2 linked regions of the Astyanax mexicanus genome follow. Each later gene encodes a partner of the first gene's protein in a complex. Links are inferred from orthologs where the notes say so. Each region holds a gene or a part of one and is shown in the gene's direction. Other genes may lie near its edges.

Region 1 (8,094 bases):
GTAGAATTGTGCCGGTAAGATAAAACATATATGGAGCAGGAGGCACATGCACAAGAAGCAGAGATGGAGGGTGTGGCAGAAACAATAGTTAATTAGCCCACAAAATAATGAATAGATTACTCGAATACCAAAATAGTCATGAGTGGGGAGACCTGACAGGTGAAGAAAATTATGCATTGGGACAGGAGCCACATGCTCAATAGGCAATGATGAAGGGTGTGGCAGAAACAATAGTTGACTAATTAATAAAATAATCGACAGATTATTCGACTACCAAAATAGTCATGAGTGGGGAGACTTGACAGGTGAGGTAAAACATGCACTGGAACAGGAGCCACATGCTCAGGAAGCAGGGGTGAAGGGTGTGGCAGAAACAATAGCTGATTAATCAACAAAATAATCGACAGGCCGATTATTCAGCTACTTAAATCTAAAGATCATCAGTTGCAGTCCTGGATGAAATGGAGCCAACACAGTGACTTGACAGATCACCTGACAGAGCTAACTACTCCTCATCCTTATCCTCTATAATTTACTTCCAAATCTTGTTAATTTATCGCTATATAAATAAAAGATTTGTCCCTAAAACATTAGGATTTCTGGACTGTTGGCCTGAAGTGTTCATAAAGATACTCACGGCTCACTTTGACGTTGCCAAACGCTAAAGGCTGCGACACGGGTTTGCTCTCCGCAAAGGAGGTGGTTCTTGGCCGACCTGACATTTCTCAGCCTTTTCCTCTGGGTTTCTCCAGCGACAACGGCTCCAAAATCTGTTTCCCTTTCTTCTGAAAGATTCTCCTGTTTTACTTCGTGGTTTAAAGTGGGTTTTTTATCAGAGAGAGGAGAAAAGCCAACTCCACCACGCTGTGCTGTTAGTTAGAATAGCTGGCGTTAGCTTAGGCTAGCTAACGCTAAATTTCCTGGACACAGTGTTTGAGGGACAAAGCCATGAAATGTGTGCCCTCAAAAACAGCTGCAGTCACTTTTTTTAGATGGTTAAAACGAAGACATTTAATTGACACAAATGGCACGGATATGGAGCTGTTAAAAATAATACATTTTCTCAAAAATATCTGAGAGAGTCCAATCCCGTCCTGCCCGTTTACCTCAGGTTAGCTAGCTTGCTAACTACGTTAGTGAGGCGAATTACAGATAGCTTAGCTCGCTAGTTCTCCAGCTAACTTAGCTGTTGCTAGGCTCGTAAAATTATATTCAGCATGGAAACGGACAAAATTCAGGACGTGTCCTCTCGTTAGCTAGTCAGCTAGCTTAGTTTGGTTTTAAAGAAAGCTCCAGTCTTCCACTCTCCGCCCGCAGAAGTAGCTGCTCTTCTCCAAATGAAGCTCGCTAGCTGCTTTCGCTGAAACTGAGGGGCTCCACACTCCGACCGCTGGCCATGGCGCCCGCCTCACTCAGCTCCCCACAGATAAAACAGCGGGAATAAAGAGGCACGGGGTAATAAAACTGCTCGTAAAAGCTCCCCAGCCTCGGTCAGCCAATAAACAGAGTAATGTGATTAATAATATCTAGCTAAATTCCCTCCGCAGACCAAAGTTGCTCCTTCAGGAGTCTTCGGTTCGCTCAGGCCAGTCGCTGCTGTTCAGCTTTACTGCACCTTAGCTGCGAACCGAATCACAAAACACTCGGTTCTTTCTTTGAATCGGACCATTAAAGTAAATCAGTTTAATAGTGATTTAAACTATATTAATAAGAAGGCGTTGTACAAATTATTGTAGAAAACATTGATGGCATATGACAACATACCTTTTCGCCTAAAACAGTTATAATACAATATAATATATTATGTAATGTATCAGTTATGTGAACTCTCATATTAGGTATGGAATGTTTAATAGTTATAATCAGTATGAGGTATTACCATTCATTGCTCAGGTAGAAGTATAGATACTAGGGTTCAAAATATTTTTGTAGAAGTTAAAGTATCAACTCAAGCCTTTTACTCAAGTAAAATAAGTGTTAAAGTACTTGTTTTAAAATGTAAGGAGTAGACAGTACAGAAAGCTGTGTAAAAAAGTTAGGTGTAGACAGTACAGATAACTGTAAGAATGTAAGGAGTTGAAGTAAAAAGTAAGCTGAAAAAGAATTCATTGAGTACAGATAACAAAAACTTTAACTTAAGTAAGGTAACAAAGTATTTGTACTTTGTTACTTGGCTTCTCTGCTGATAGTATTAGACCCATTAGTCCCATAGTCATATGTTACCATTGATTTACACTCTCCAATACCAGAATCAGAATTGGACTCCAGCAAAACACAGTAAGAGTTTTTGTGCTGTTATTCACAAATGGACATAACATGGCTCAATGGTGAACCATCACAAAATAACTGCAGGTCTTGCCTCAGTTAAGATAAGTGTTCATGATTCAATAATAAGTCTGAGACTTGGCGAAAATGGTTTCCAAAGCAAAAATTACTGCTGAAAAAAAAGAACACAGGCCTATTTCATTTGCCAACACACATCTTGATGATTCCCAGGACAGGACTATATATATATATATATATATATATATATATATATATATATATATATATATATATATATATATATATATATATATATAGTTAATATATTAGTTAGTATATTTAAAGTTGACCTTAACATGGGGGTCTGACAGTGATTAAAACGCTACGAAAGATTCAGAATCGGTTCGTGGAACTAAAGCGAACTGAATCGTCACTGAGGACTCGACTGCAGTGCTTCATTTTTAGTTACGGAAAATGCGTAGCGGTGTTTGTGTAAGCGGGCGCGCTCAGCTTTAATGAGTCGCAACTCTGCGTAAACGAACACTTACGGGAATCGGGCGTTGTACACGCGGATTGTGACGTATGGTTGCGAGAACCAATGAGAAGGCAGATCGCGGGGAATGGGTGGAGCCAGTCCGGGAGTCACCCAGAGCCATAGAGATGGCTATATGATCCATATGGCTCTGGAGTCACCGAGGGCAGAAGACTGTAGGGCAAGAAGCAGAAGCGCGACCTCTAGTGTCGAGGCGGAGTAAACGAATAATCACTGTTTTATCTATCAATTATTAAATATTAAAAACATAATAAATAATTTGTTTCAAACATGACTACTTTACAATAAAATGTACATATCCATCAAAATAATACCCTATCTATTCCATCTAAATTAAAATCATTTTCTTGATGACAATGCTCGAACAAATGGATGAGATTCACTCTAGCAAACGAGTTATATCCTACACAATTTTATATACATAATATGTTTTTTTTTGTTTAATCAGCAAGAAACATCCAAACTGAGAACGTTAAATACCAAAAACAAACGAAATACACAACGAAATAATGAATAATATCTACTCTTCCAGCTTTGGCATGTCCGGCTTCAAAATGAATGAATGTATGTTCTGAAAATGTGATGCTGAAAAATCAAAAGACCTGTTTGTTTTATGCTCCCACACTCAGCTGTTTTGGAAACAGTTAATGGATTTATTAAACAAAACAATATATATATATATATATTTTTTTTTTTTATGGAATATTAAATAATCCAAAGATTGATCAATGTTTTGTTTATTTTGACCAAGTTTTGTTCATTCAGAAATCTAAATTTATTAAGAAAAAAAAATATATATAAAAAAATAAAAGAGATAAAATAGCGGAAAAATCCAACCAATGAAATCGCGCGCATTTGGCGTGTCCCTTTTCTCTCACGCTACGTCATCGCGTAAGAACTCGTTTCCGCTCGAACTGGTTCTGCTCGATTCAGTTCATTGAACAGAGGCAACCGGCTTGATTCAGTGAATCGAACGTTGACGTGAACGATTCATTAGGTCTTCGTTTAATGGGTTTGTATTTTAAATAGTAATTAGAATTAAACTAGGTTTGCATTTTGCTTCACCTAATTGAGTCTGATCCAAATATTTATTAACGTTTTTAGAGTGTGAAATAAATAACTGTGTAGGACAGGATTGTATAATTAATTTTATTTTCTTCACTCTCAAAGAATAGTCAGTAGGAAAGTGTATAAATACTAAAGCTTTAAAACATATATTTTTTTTAAATGTCGGTGCCTACAGAAGTTGCTTTTTCATGCACAAAAATACTTTATATATTCGCAGATGGATTTTGACGTGTTGGTTTAGGATATTAGCATTGGTATCCAGAGATGTGGAACTACTAAAATACTGTATCTGAGTATTCTTATTTTTTTTTCTCCTGCTACCACTTTTACTTCACTGCATATTCATATTAATTTTTAACTTTCCTAATAATTTGATTTAACATAATATTTTCATAATATTCATGATAATTCACACTTGTACTTTTCTTATTTTAAAGCCTACACTTCTTCTTAGCTGTCAGAATGCCCTTGAAATGCTAAAATACTAATCTCTATTGAAGCTAGCTACAGTAGCACAACAGTCACGTCCTGAATTGAAGTTGAGTTGAATCTGCTCGACTGATTCATTCAAAAGAACCGGTTCAAAAGAAACTCGACTCGCTGACGAGTCGTTCCGTCTGTAGCTAGTAGTTTCCGCGCCTGGGGAGAAAATGGCGGCCGTGCAGGACGGAGGGAGCGAGCTGGAGGGCGAGAAAGAGCCGAAGCCCGAGCTCATGAACGATGGCTCCACGGCTCCGGCTGCAGCGCCGAGCTCCCGGCCGGAGGATCAGCAGACGCTGCTGGCCGTGCTGCAGTTCCTCAAGCGGAACAAGCTGATCGAGTCGGTGGACGCGCTGCGGCGGGAGGCGGGACTGGCGGACGAGCCGGAGGAAGCTCCGGGGAGCGAGGCTGCAGGAGGCGCCGGCGGAGCCGCGGCGGGGAGCGGGGAGCTCGGGGATGCGGGCGCGCTGCTCAGCCGGGTGTCTGGAGGCTCACAGAGCGCGGCGGCTCCGGCTCCGGCTAAAGGTGGGTCTGATAGAGAGGAGCTGAACAAAGAGAAGAGCTTCAGACTAAGAAACAGAGCTGCTCTCAAAACGTCAAAACACACATGCATGCAGCTACTACTACTATCACTACTGCTACTACTACTACAACTAGTAGTAGTAGTAGTGTGTGTTTGTGTGTGTTTTTGTTTGTGTGTGTGTGTTTGTTTTTTTGTGTGTGTGTGTGTGTGTGTGTGTGTGTGTGTGTGTGTGTGTGTGTGTGTGTGTCTAAACACAAATAAATAGTTGATTGAGAAACCTTTTATGGTTTCTTCAATTTCAAACAGAAAGCACCACTCGAGGGGCTTTGAGGAACCTTCAAAACAATGTTTTAGTCCATAAATGTTCCTTTATGCAACTTATGTTTTCTTAAAGGCTCCTTAAAGCACCTTTAGGGGTTCCTCCAACATTTCAATTACTAAAACCTTTCTTTAAAATTCCTCAAGCTGCTAATTAGTTCTGTTTGTACCGGTAACACTTATAACACAGGATAGTAAAGTTTATGAGGGCTAGTTGAAGTAGATGCTCATCATGTGTTATGACAATCTTATAACAAGATCCTTAATCTTAACTAAAAGACATTCTGCGTCATTTAAATCTTATTTTTATGTCAGTCTTATAACAAGATATGCTATTACAATACAATTTCATTTTCCAGCAGGACTGCCAAAAGTACCAATTGGTCTTATATAATATTCCAATTTTCTGAGACTCTGATTTTCATTGGCTTTAAGCCATAATCATCAGCAATAAAATAAATATACCCTTAAAATAGATCACTCTGTGTGTAATATATTTAAATATAATATATATGTTATGTACATTTTTAACTGAAATACTGAAATAAAGTAACTTTTTAATGATATTCTGATTTCATGTGTTGTCTGCAGGAGGAGATGACCAGCCGGACGTCAGCGTGGTTCTGTCAGCGTACAGTCAGCAGGGTGACCCATCCTTGTATCAGGTCTATTACAGCGGTTTGAAGAAGTTCATTGAATCTGTGCTGGACTGTCACAGGGCCGAGCTGTCGCAGCTCTTTTATCCACTCTTCGTGCACATGTACCTGGAGCTGGTCTACAACAACCATGAAAGTGAAGCCAAGTCTTTTTTTGAGAAGTAAGTGACTACTGTTGGGCAGGGCAATATATCAATCGTATATTTCATTATATTTAAACCCATTTTATACAAGATATAAAAATGCTTATATCATAATAATACCATCAGAAATTGCATTTATTTCCAAAAAAGATTCTACATGGGTGGTGTGTGTGGAAATGCTTTGGTGCAGACTTTAGTCTTGTGCATTATGTTGGAAAAGTGTCACAGTTAAAGGAGCAGCATGAAGACTTTCTCACACAGCATAGTCCAGTCAGTGAAATACTTATTTATATACTTAATAAAATTAGTTGTTTACTATTTAGACATACTGTATCGTAACATATTCTATTATCACCATTTATCTGAAACATATCGATATGAGGTTAATTAAGTAGGTAATTAAGTAGTTTTGGTCTCAGTCATGGCCCTGAAACGCCTTTGCCGTGCACATTTTATTGTTTTCTCTGATCTAACATCTCACACAATTCATTAGCACATAAGAAATCCCACTGAGATCTAGAGAGTTGGATGTTCTAATAGTTCTGCAGTGTGTTGACTGATATGGTCAGTTCTTCAGGCACTGCCTAGTAGGGGTGGGTGATATGGCCCTAAAATAATATCACAATATTTCATGGTAATTTTGCCATAATGATACTCTTGGCGATATGACAAAACACTGAATTAAAGAAAATATTTTAAGAATACACTACTGCAACAAAATTAAAATGAGGTTTTATTATTGCATATAATATGACATGACACACCCCTAACTATAATAAATATTAAAAAATACTAGAATTCTATCAGATTTGTAACAGAGGTCAGTGATCCAGAATGTCATGATACTAATAATGCTCTACATTTATACAGGATGAAAATAAAATCAGTTATACTGTACACATATATTCTCTCTCTACTGGACATATAATGGGAAATAAGTACAGTGTGAATTTTTCAGTGTTTGATCAGAGTATTTCTTGTAATTGTTGCCCAGAAACTCTCCTCCAGCTCCTGCCTAACGTTCCTTTTCATGTTCAGGTTTAATGGGGACCAGGAGTGTTACTATCAGGACGACTTGCGGGTGCTCTCAGGCCTCACCAAGAAGGAGCACATGAAGGGCAACGAGACGTTGCTAGACTTCCGCACGAGCCGCTTCGTTTTGCGGATCTCCCGCGACTCCTACCAGCTGCTGAAGAGGCACCTGCAGGAGCGACAGAACAACCAGATCTGGAACATCATTCAGGAGCATCTCTACATCGACATCTTCGATGGCATGCCTCGCAGCAAGAGCCAGATAGACAGCATGTCCGGCAGTTTGGCGGGAGAGGCCAAACGGGAGGACAATAAGACCAAGGTGAGTGTGGGGGATATTCTATCAGACTTAGCACTGATCGTTAAACAGTTTTAAATTAGTGAGTCGGTTTTCGTGCACTCCAATCATAATCATATTTAATAAGCAGAGTGCTGGGTTTCAGAGATCAGATTTCTTGGAACATGTATAAAATTTTTCTGATTTCTTTTGATTTTCATAGTCTGTGCACACACATTTTCATGCAAAAAGTCATGGGATAGCGTAAATTGTGGCCTGCAAGCATAAAACATCTTGCCCGTGAGGGTGTTTGAACTATAATGAACGGTAATGAAGAAATAAAATGCTTCTCTGGTGAGCTTTTGTATACATTCCTCCCCTGTCCCCTGTGTCGCGCTCGGCATAACTTTAGTTTACACCCATTCTCGTTTTTCTGCCTATTCTTGGGCTCTTTATCTCCTTATAAGACACTGCTTTGGGTTCGATGGGTGCGTTAGGAGCGGTGTGTTTATTTTATTTTATTTTTCCTTTCTTGTTGGGTTTACCTGCTTTGAGATCAACTGTTCTGCAGTTGGGTTCAACAACCCTCTGGGCTGGAGAGCTACTAGTCTGTAGCACTCCATCCCATTACACTTCATTTTCCAAAACAGTATTTTTTTTTTGTGGCCTGCCATGTAATGGCTTGGAAAATATCTGGCCTGCGGCCAAACCTAATTGCCGACCCCTGCCTTAGGGGATGGCTTGGGATTGCCCAAATCTGTATAAGTTGTGATGTGTTA
Region 2 (8,003 bases), on another chromosome or scaffold:
TACTCCAACTGCACTGTCTGGCCTTGAGCATCTGCTCCTGAACAAAAACCTCATTATAATCCCAAAAATAAATCAATATAAAAGAGAAACCAAAACTTATAACGTTATAAATGTGTCTGGATTGTGTATTCACTATTCACAGCTAGTCTACTTTGTAAACACAATGTAGGCCTGTTTTTTTGGGACTTTTTGGGCCTAAAAACACATGTACACATGTTTTTTACTGTTTCCTGTTTACAGTACGAGTCAAAAGTTTGGACATTCATTAATTTAAAATGTTCTGCATTGTAGATAAATCCTAAAGTCATCCAAACTATGAACTAAAACATATGGAATTATTTTTGCAATTTCAGCTTTATGAGGTAGAGTCACTTAAAAATGACTTTCAGTTAACAGCTGTGCCTTGTTTAAATCTGTTTGAATATGCCTATTTGAGTTACATTCTAATCCATATTATGAGAAGCAAGAGCTCCTCAACTAAATAAAGAATAAACTGCTATAAGAAATGAAGGTCAGTCAATCCAAAAGTAAATTTTAAGAACTTTCAAAGTATCCTCAAGTGTAGTCACCCACTGCAAAGACCCTTAAAAACATTTAGATGATGGAACTGGCACTCATCAGGACCGCCCCAGGAAAGGAAGAGCATAAGTTCCCTTTGTTGTACAGGATAAAAGTTAACTTCAACGAGTATTTTGGTTTGAACTTTTTAACTAAGCAAAGAACTTGGCAAGAACGTTTTAGCTAAGTAAAGAAAAATGTACTTTAAGTAAAAATAAAGGTCAAAAATTTTATGATAATGATGGAACTGGCACTCATCAGAACTGCCCCGGGACAGGAAGAGTGAGAGTTTCCTCGGTTGCACAAGATAAAAGTAAACTTTCAATGAGTATTTTGGTTTGAACTTTTTAACTAAGTAAAGAAAAAAAGTACTTTAAGAAAAAATCCAAAAAGAAGAATTTCAAGGAATTCAAATATATCTTGTCAAGTGCAGTCACCGACTTCAAAGACAATCAAAAACGTTGTAATGATGGAACTGGCACTCATCAGGACTGCTCCAGGAAAGAAAGAGCAAGATATTCCTCTTAAGTTAACTTCACAGAGTATTGGTTTATTCTTATTTTGTTTTTTTAGTTTTTTTAATATTTTAACATTTTATTTCAAATATTACTTTTACATAAATAAATAAATAAGAAACATTGCGTAAGAAGAGGTGTGCCCAAACTTTTGACTGGTACTGTAAATATATATATATATATTATATTATTTATATATTTTTTTATATTATTGGGAAAAATGTCCATTAGCTCTAAAAAACATAAAATAACTATACTAGTTACGCTTTAACTGCGTTAAATCAGGGCTGTAAAGTCGCTAGTTAACTATATACAGCATTTTTCTGAATTCCTGCGCGTGAACATCGTAACTAAGAACCTACGGAGCGGCTTACCGTACTCATGACGTCACGGCAGTTCTCGTAAGGAGTTGCGTGTTGAGCGCAGGGCGCGCGCTGCTGATGACTCTGCGCTGTTCAGATGAATAAAGTGTTTATCAGTAATCCAGTGTGTGTTTAATCCTCCTCAGCGCGGGGGGAACTGGGAGAACTGGTCTCTCAGCGGGTCAGACTCTCCCCGTCCGGATCAGCAGCCCAGTCAGACCAGTCTCCGGGCTGTGCTGGTGTCTCGTGCCCTCCGTAAGGTCCCAGTGTTTTCGCTGGAAGTGAGAGGAGGCGCGTGGGGAATTCCTAGCAGAGTCACATTTTCCCTCCAATCTGATTGGTCAGCAGCGTGCCTGAGACTCAGTATCCCACTAAACACTGTCTAAACTACATACATCATCCAAACTAGGTAGACATTTAACTTTAATTTTCCTTAAAGACCTTACAAATTATGATTTTCTTTGATTTTACCAAATCGAAAACCTCTGGAATATAATTAAGAGGAAGATGGATGTTTACAAGCCATCAAACCACCAAACTGAACTGCTTGAATTTTTACACCAGGAGTAAAGCAGCATAAAGTTATCCAAAAGCAGCGTGTAAGACTGGTGGAGGAGAACATGATGCCAAGATGCATGAAAACTGTTATTCCATGAAATAGTAATTCATTCATGAATTCATTATATGTTTTATATATTTTTTAATTAATTAAATATATTTTTCAAATTTTAAATTAGGACATTAGAAGTACTTTTTTATCTGATGTGTTCTGGCCCAGTATTGTCTTTAAATATGAAAAATACATGAAGCAATGGACTATGATCATTACATATATCATTTTATGTCATATTGTATATTTGAATATATCTTTTTTGAGTAACAAATCCTCATTTTAACATTTCCACATGTCAGTATTTGATGTTTTATATTTTTAAGAAAAATAATAAAAAAAAATTCGTTCCCATACCGGGAGTCGAACCCGGGCCGCCTGGGTGAAAACCAGGAATCCTAACCGCTAGACCATATGGGAGCTGATACTGCAGCGCGCCGCTCCGCCTTTCATACATTATACACTGCAGTGATACTGTGGCTACAGATATACACGGGTTATATATGCGGGTAGGTAAATGTGTGCGTTTAGTTAAAAGTAGTTAATTATAGAAAATACTATAATTAATAATAATAAACTAGAACAGAGAACAGCAGCGATATCTTACCATTATTATTAGCTATTTAGCTAACTAGCTTTAGCATTTAACTTAAATAACTTAGCTAAATAACTTTAACACTTAGCTAGCTAAGCTTTTTAAATAGTTGTTTAATATATATAAATATAATTACAAATGTATTATTATTATTATTATTATTATTATTATTATTATTATTATTATTATTATTATTATTATTAATTATTAATGCCACAGCGACAAATTTTGTAATGTTACAGCAGCACACAGTAACGTTACCATTAAAAAGAGTTCCTTGTCCCTTAATAACGTTAATCCAGAATATGAGAAGCAAGAACTACTTAAATAAATAAAGGAAAAAATACGTTAAGACAAAATAAAGGTTATTCAATCCAAATAAAAGAATTTAAAGAACTTTGAACGTATTCTGAAGTGCAGTCACCGCAAATACCATCAAACACGTTATGATAATCAGGGTTGCCAGGTCACACAAAAGTACCCAGTCTAAAGTCTGTCTATAACCTGCCCTTCAGAAGCTTAAATTAGCCCAAAATATATGTCTGTCACACGTTTAGCAAATGTCAAAACAACTATGAGTGTACGACTTAATATTTTGTTTAAAGTCATTAATAGATAATAGTGTAACATTAGTGTTTTATTAGTTCTTTTATAACAGGTTTATATCCATGTCAAAAACATTTTTACTAGTAAGATAATTAGGAAAAAAAATAGAACAGACTTTTACTTACTCATTTCTGTTATTTTTTTCGCCTTGTGATTTCTGGTTACATTGTGATTTCTCTCTCTCTCTCTCTCTCTCTCTCTTTCCCGCTGTCCTCCCTTCATTTTTGACAAGCAAGCCTAATTTGGCGGTAAAACCACCAACCTGGCAACTCTGATGATGATGGAACTGGCACTCATCAGGACCGCTCCAGGAAAGGAAGAGCACAGGATAAGTTCATCAGAGTTACCAGCCTCAGAAACTGCATGTTAACAGCTCCCCAGATAAGAGCATCTAAATGCTTTACAGAGTAACGTTGTTAAGGTACTACATGATTCCTTATGAGTTACTTTATAGTCTGGATAATTTCATTTTTCATTTTTTTAATGTAGGGAAACAATTCTGTATTTTGCCACTGTCAGATATGTTAAATTAATTAGAAAGTTAATTTCTTTCAATAAATAAATGAGCAGATCAAATATTTTTAGGACTGATTAACTTTTAAGCCAAATTAATCAGAAATATGGAATATTCTAAAGATTTTAAACACTTTCAAACACCACTGTGTATATTTACATCTGTAACACTAGGTGGCAGTATAACACTGGTACAAAATCAGTAACACATGAATTTACTGGGACAAATTTAGACACAATAAAATTAGGATTGAGACTTAAACAAACTGTATTTATTACAGTTTTCTCTTAATTCCTCATAATCAGTATTTAATCCCCACTGCAGGTTCTATTTAAGTGATTTATTGATTCTACAGGTCTGGCAGTAATCAGGCCTGGTTGTGGTTAGTAGTAAAATTGACATCAGCTTTCCAAAAAATGTAGTTAATTCATGTTTATACATGTTAATGTTAATTCATGGGGGGTAACTTACATTAATTAATTTTCCATAATAAATTAAATTGTAATTTAAAAACTAAATACTTTTTTACAGCACTGATAGCAGTGATAAAGAAACATATTGAAAGGACAGTGCAGTCTACAGAGCTTTATACAGTAAAATACAGACAACGTCTGCTTCAAATTCATCTGTAGGTATTTTTCTGAACGTTTATTCTTCTTCTTCTTCTTCTTCTTCTTCTTCGTCTTATTATTATTATTATTATTATTATTATTATTATTATTATTATTATTATTATTATTATTATTATTATTATTATTATTTGTCCTTTATTATCATTATTAAAAACGCCTGATTCCAGATCAGTAGGTGGCGGTATTGGTCCCTGTAGTTTAGGCGCGAACAGCCATAGAAGAAGACCCCGCGAGGAAGGAGCAGCAGCGTTAGCATTAGCTTCGCTGAATATGTGATTAATATGGTTTAAACTTCTATTTCCTGCTTTTTAATCAGCTCTAACTCTGTGGGGGTTTGGTGTAGGTGAGATTTACTGTATTTTCCTACGGGTTTTTGTACATTATCCAGTTATTATCCTCTTATTCTGGATATTTTTCGTTTGTGGTAACGCTAATGTTGTTAGCCTGAGAGCTAACTAACTGCCTGACGCTGCCTAGCACTCACTCTCATTTACCTTATTTTTATTATTATTATATTATCTGTTCATATCTCACATTTATACTGCGTGTTTTACTGTATTTGTGTGTGTGTCTTTGTTTGTTTGTAAGTGCTAGCTGTCTGTTTCTGACCTCCTATGTTTTTGCTAGGCTAAAAGTTCCTGTGGTATATTTAGGCTATCTAATCTACAGAACATGAACTAACAGAACTACATTTTCATTGTTTTCGTTGTTTTTAATGTTTCTATTTTTATTTTTTAGGATCTAAACATCACCTGAGGTCACATACAGCATTATAACACTGTCAAAATGACTTCTAAAACAAAAGGTAGGCAATGGTTTGCATTTTTTCTAGGTCTTTGCTGCAAATTTAGCTACGTACATTAATTGCTGAAGATGTTATACCCAGCAAACACACACCATGTCAGACATCCCACCTTGCAAAAATATAAATAAATAAATATATTTATTAGGGGTGGGCGATATGGCCCTAAAATAGTATCACAATATTTCATGGTATTTTCCCGATAATGATACTTTTGGCGATACACTATACACTGCAAGAAAAATATATATATACATACATACAATGTAATACTGCACACCCCTAAGTGAGATATTAAAAAATACAAAAAAATTATCAGATTTGTAATAAAAGTCAATGATCCAGAATGTCATGATAATAATAATAATAATAATAATAATAATAATGCACTTCAAATTTCTCCATATATCCAGGATTAAAGTAAAATTAAAGATACTGGACAGATATAATCTGTCTCTAGTAGATATATAATGGGAAATGGGATGGGTGATATGGTACGATATTTTAGGGTATTATATCGTTCACTATATTTAAAAATTCTTGACGATATTATCGTGTACGATATGGCACACCCCTAATATTTATCAATTTATTAAGGAGTTTCAAGGTATTTTTAGGTTAACAGTCTTTTTGAAAAAGTTTTTTTATTTATTGCATAAAAACTGCAGACAAATAATTAATTTAAATATAATAAATTGCAAAATAAATACAAAACATATGCTTTCAGTAGTATAAAATAGTGCATGGAAGTACAGGTATACACAGGGTGACGTAAGGGAAATGGCACACCCCTAATTGAGATTTTCACCATATTATTTTTTGTTTTTTTGCAGTTGGAAAAGTAACTAAAAATAAAGAGGATGCTCCTCACGAGCTGGAGAGTCAGTTTATTCTGAGACTTCCTCAGGTAAGCGCTTTTTCCTGAGATTGTAGGTTTTTATTAAATGGTGAATAATATTTTACAGCCATAATAATATCAGAAGGGGAAAAGGTATGTAAAAATAATATAATAGTCATGGTTCAGCTGTATGAATTTTGTGTATAATAATCTGAAAATCTCCTGTAAAACATGGCCTGACTCAATCCTTGTATCTCCAGGAGTACGCCTCCACAGTGAGACAGATTGCCGGGTCTGGAAGCATGAATATCAAAGACAGACTGACCATAGAGCTGCACGGTAAGTGTACAAAAAAACATTTAGCAATGGTTTAAGTGAAGAGAAATGTTATATATTTTGTTTTCTTTTTCTTTTCTTTTTTTACAATTAAGAAAAGCTTATTGGAGGGGGGGGGATTTTTTTAGGTATTCGAGATCTAATTCATATTATTGTATGAGTTTCAAAAATGTTAAAAAGATACACAGCCATAGTCGCACATGCTTCTTTACTTGCACGTATTGCTGCAATGTGCCAATTTGTATTTTTGTATAAAAAAATGTAAAGCTTATTGTATCTTTTTTGGGATATAAAACACTGTCTTTACCAAAATAAGTAAAAAAAGTAAAGGAGCACTCAGCAAGCGTCTGAATAAGTTACAGCAGTCCAGTTTCAAAGCACCACCGAGAGTTGCTCACTCGGGTTGCCAAGTTGGCTGGAGGCTGAATCTACACAGTCCAGTGCGAGAAGAGTTCAGTGAAAGACGAGTCCAGCAACTTCTACCATGGCAAGCAACGGCGATGTGACTTATCTGCTCTTCCTTTGTGATTGAATTCATTTGACGTTAGCGTGTGTAGCATAATTGCGTTAGACAGCATAGTTACCTTGCACCATGCTAACCTATCTAGCTCTTTCAGGTATCATTTGCCTTGTTTTTTCCAGCTGCACACAGACCACTGATATGAATGTGAACACTCAATTATTTTATTTTATTCATTTAAACACCATTCCCTAGGAAGCTCACCTTGTGATTGTGATGAATTACTTCACTGAATTAGTTAGCCAGTTAGCTTACCTGTTCAGAAGAAAAGTAGCAGCTCAGCGTCGGTCTTGTAGTCTTTTTTTTTTAAGCTCTAAATCTTCTCTACCTTTCGAACTCACTGCCAATATTCACTTGTTTTATTTCTCCTTTGGTCACTGAGCTTTTTTTCAGACCAGCCCTGCTTGCTAGCTTCCATGCTGCAGCACAGATCACTCGCTATTTTGTATTTGCCACCTCAGTTAGTGCTGGGAACGAGCAGTAGGTGAAATCGAAGGGCAAAACAAACACAGATACCAACTGTGATGCACTGTACACTCCTAATAGGATCGTACTGGCTGATGTGCTTCTGACAAGAGCTGCCAGTGCTTTAACTCAGCATGTGTGCTTAATATCTGATGATATGTCCTAAACATTTTTATATTTTATCATTTACTACTGAAAATATAATCTCTATTGCTTCTATATTGTATAGCATATTCAGGGTTCGTATGGTCATGACAAAACTGGAAAACTAATGGAATTTTAAAGTTTTTAAAATTCAATTTCCAGGCCTTGATAAGTTTTGAAAAAATAAAAATACCCAGAAAATTTTGGAAAGGCATAGAAATGCGGTCTACAAAAAATTGTGTTTGCATTTTTTGATGGAGAAAATCTATTTTGAGCTAACATATATATCACCACAGAGTTACTTCAGTTATTTAGCCCAAATATAGGATCTGACACACATTTTATTTTTAAAGATTGCACTACAAAAATCCATTGGCAAAAAATAGACCAAATAAATGTTAATTAAGACGTAAATGCCTAAATTAAGCAAAAGAATCCTAGCTACATTTTTCAAAATAAGCAATCACAAAGTCCCAAAATGAGTGAAGTAAAACTCAAATCAAGAA

What was found. The genes of interacting proteins can lie anywhere in the genome.
Region 2: taf5 (region 1) and taf7 share a complex: the UniProt entries of both Homo sapiens proteins name them as parts of the TFIID basal transcription factor complex. The link is inferred for Astyanax mexicanus from reciprocal best matches to the Homo sapiens genes TAF5 and TAF7.

What each region holds. Positions count from the first base shown.
Region 1 is NC_064428.1:23,233,101-23,241,194, reverse strand, and holds the start of taf5 (transcription initiation factor TFIID subunit 5), read left to right. Parts: upstream 1-4,485; 5' UTR 4,486-4,536; coding exon 4,537-4,891; intron 4,892-5,798; coding exon 5,799-6,024; intron 6,025-7,044; coding exon 7,045-7,360; intron 7,361-8,094. Other genes in the region: gsk3bb (glycogen synthase kinase 3 beta, genome duplicate b), read right to left, coding at 638-722. UniProt on the Homo sapiens protein: The TFIID basal transcription factor complex plays a major role in the initiation of RNA polymerase II (Pol II)-dependent transcription.
Region 2 is NC_064417.1:51,691,119-51,699,121, reverse strand, and holds the start of taf7 (transcription initiation factor TFIID subunit 7), read left to right. Parts: upstream 1-4,589; 5' UTR 4,590-4,735; intron 4,736-5,130; 5' UTR 5,131-5,178; coding exon 5,179-5,197; intron 5,198-6,027; coding exon 6,028-6,101; intron 6,102-6,292; coding exon 6,293-6,371; intron 6,372-8,003. UniProt on the Homo sapiens protein: The TFIID basal transcription factor complex plays a major role in the initiation of RNA polymerase II (Pol II)-dependent transcription.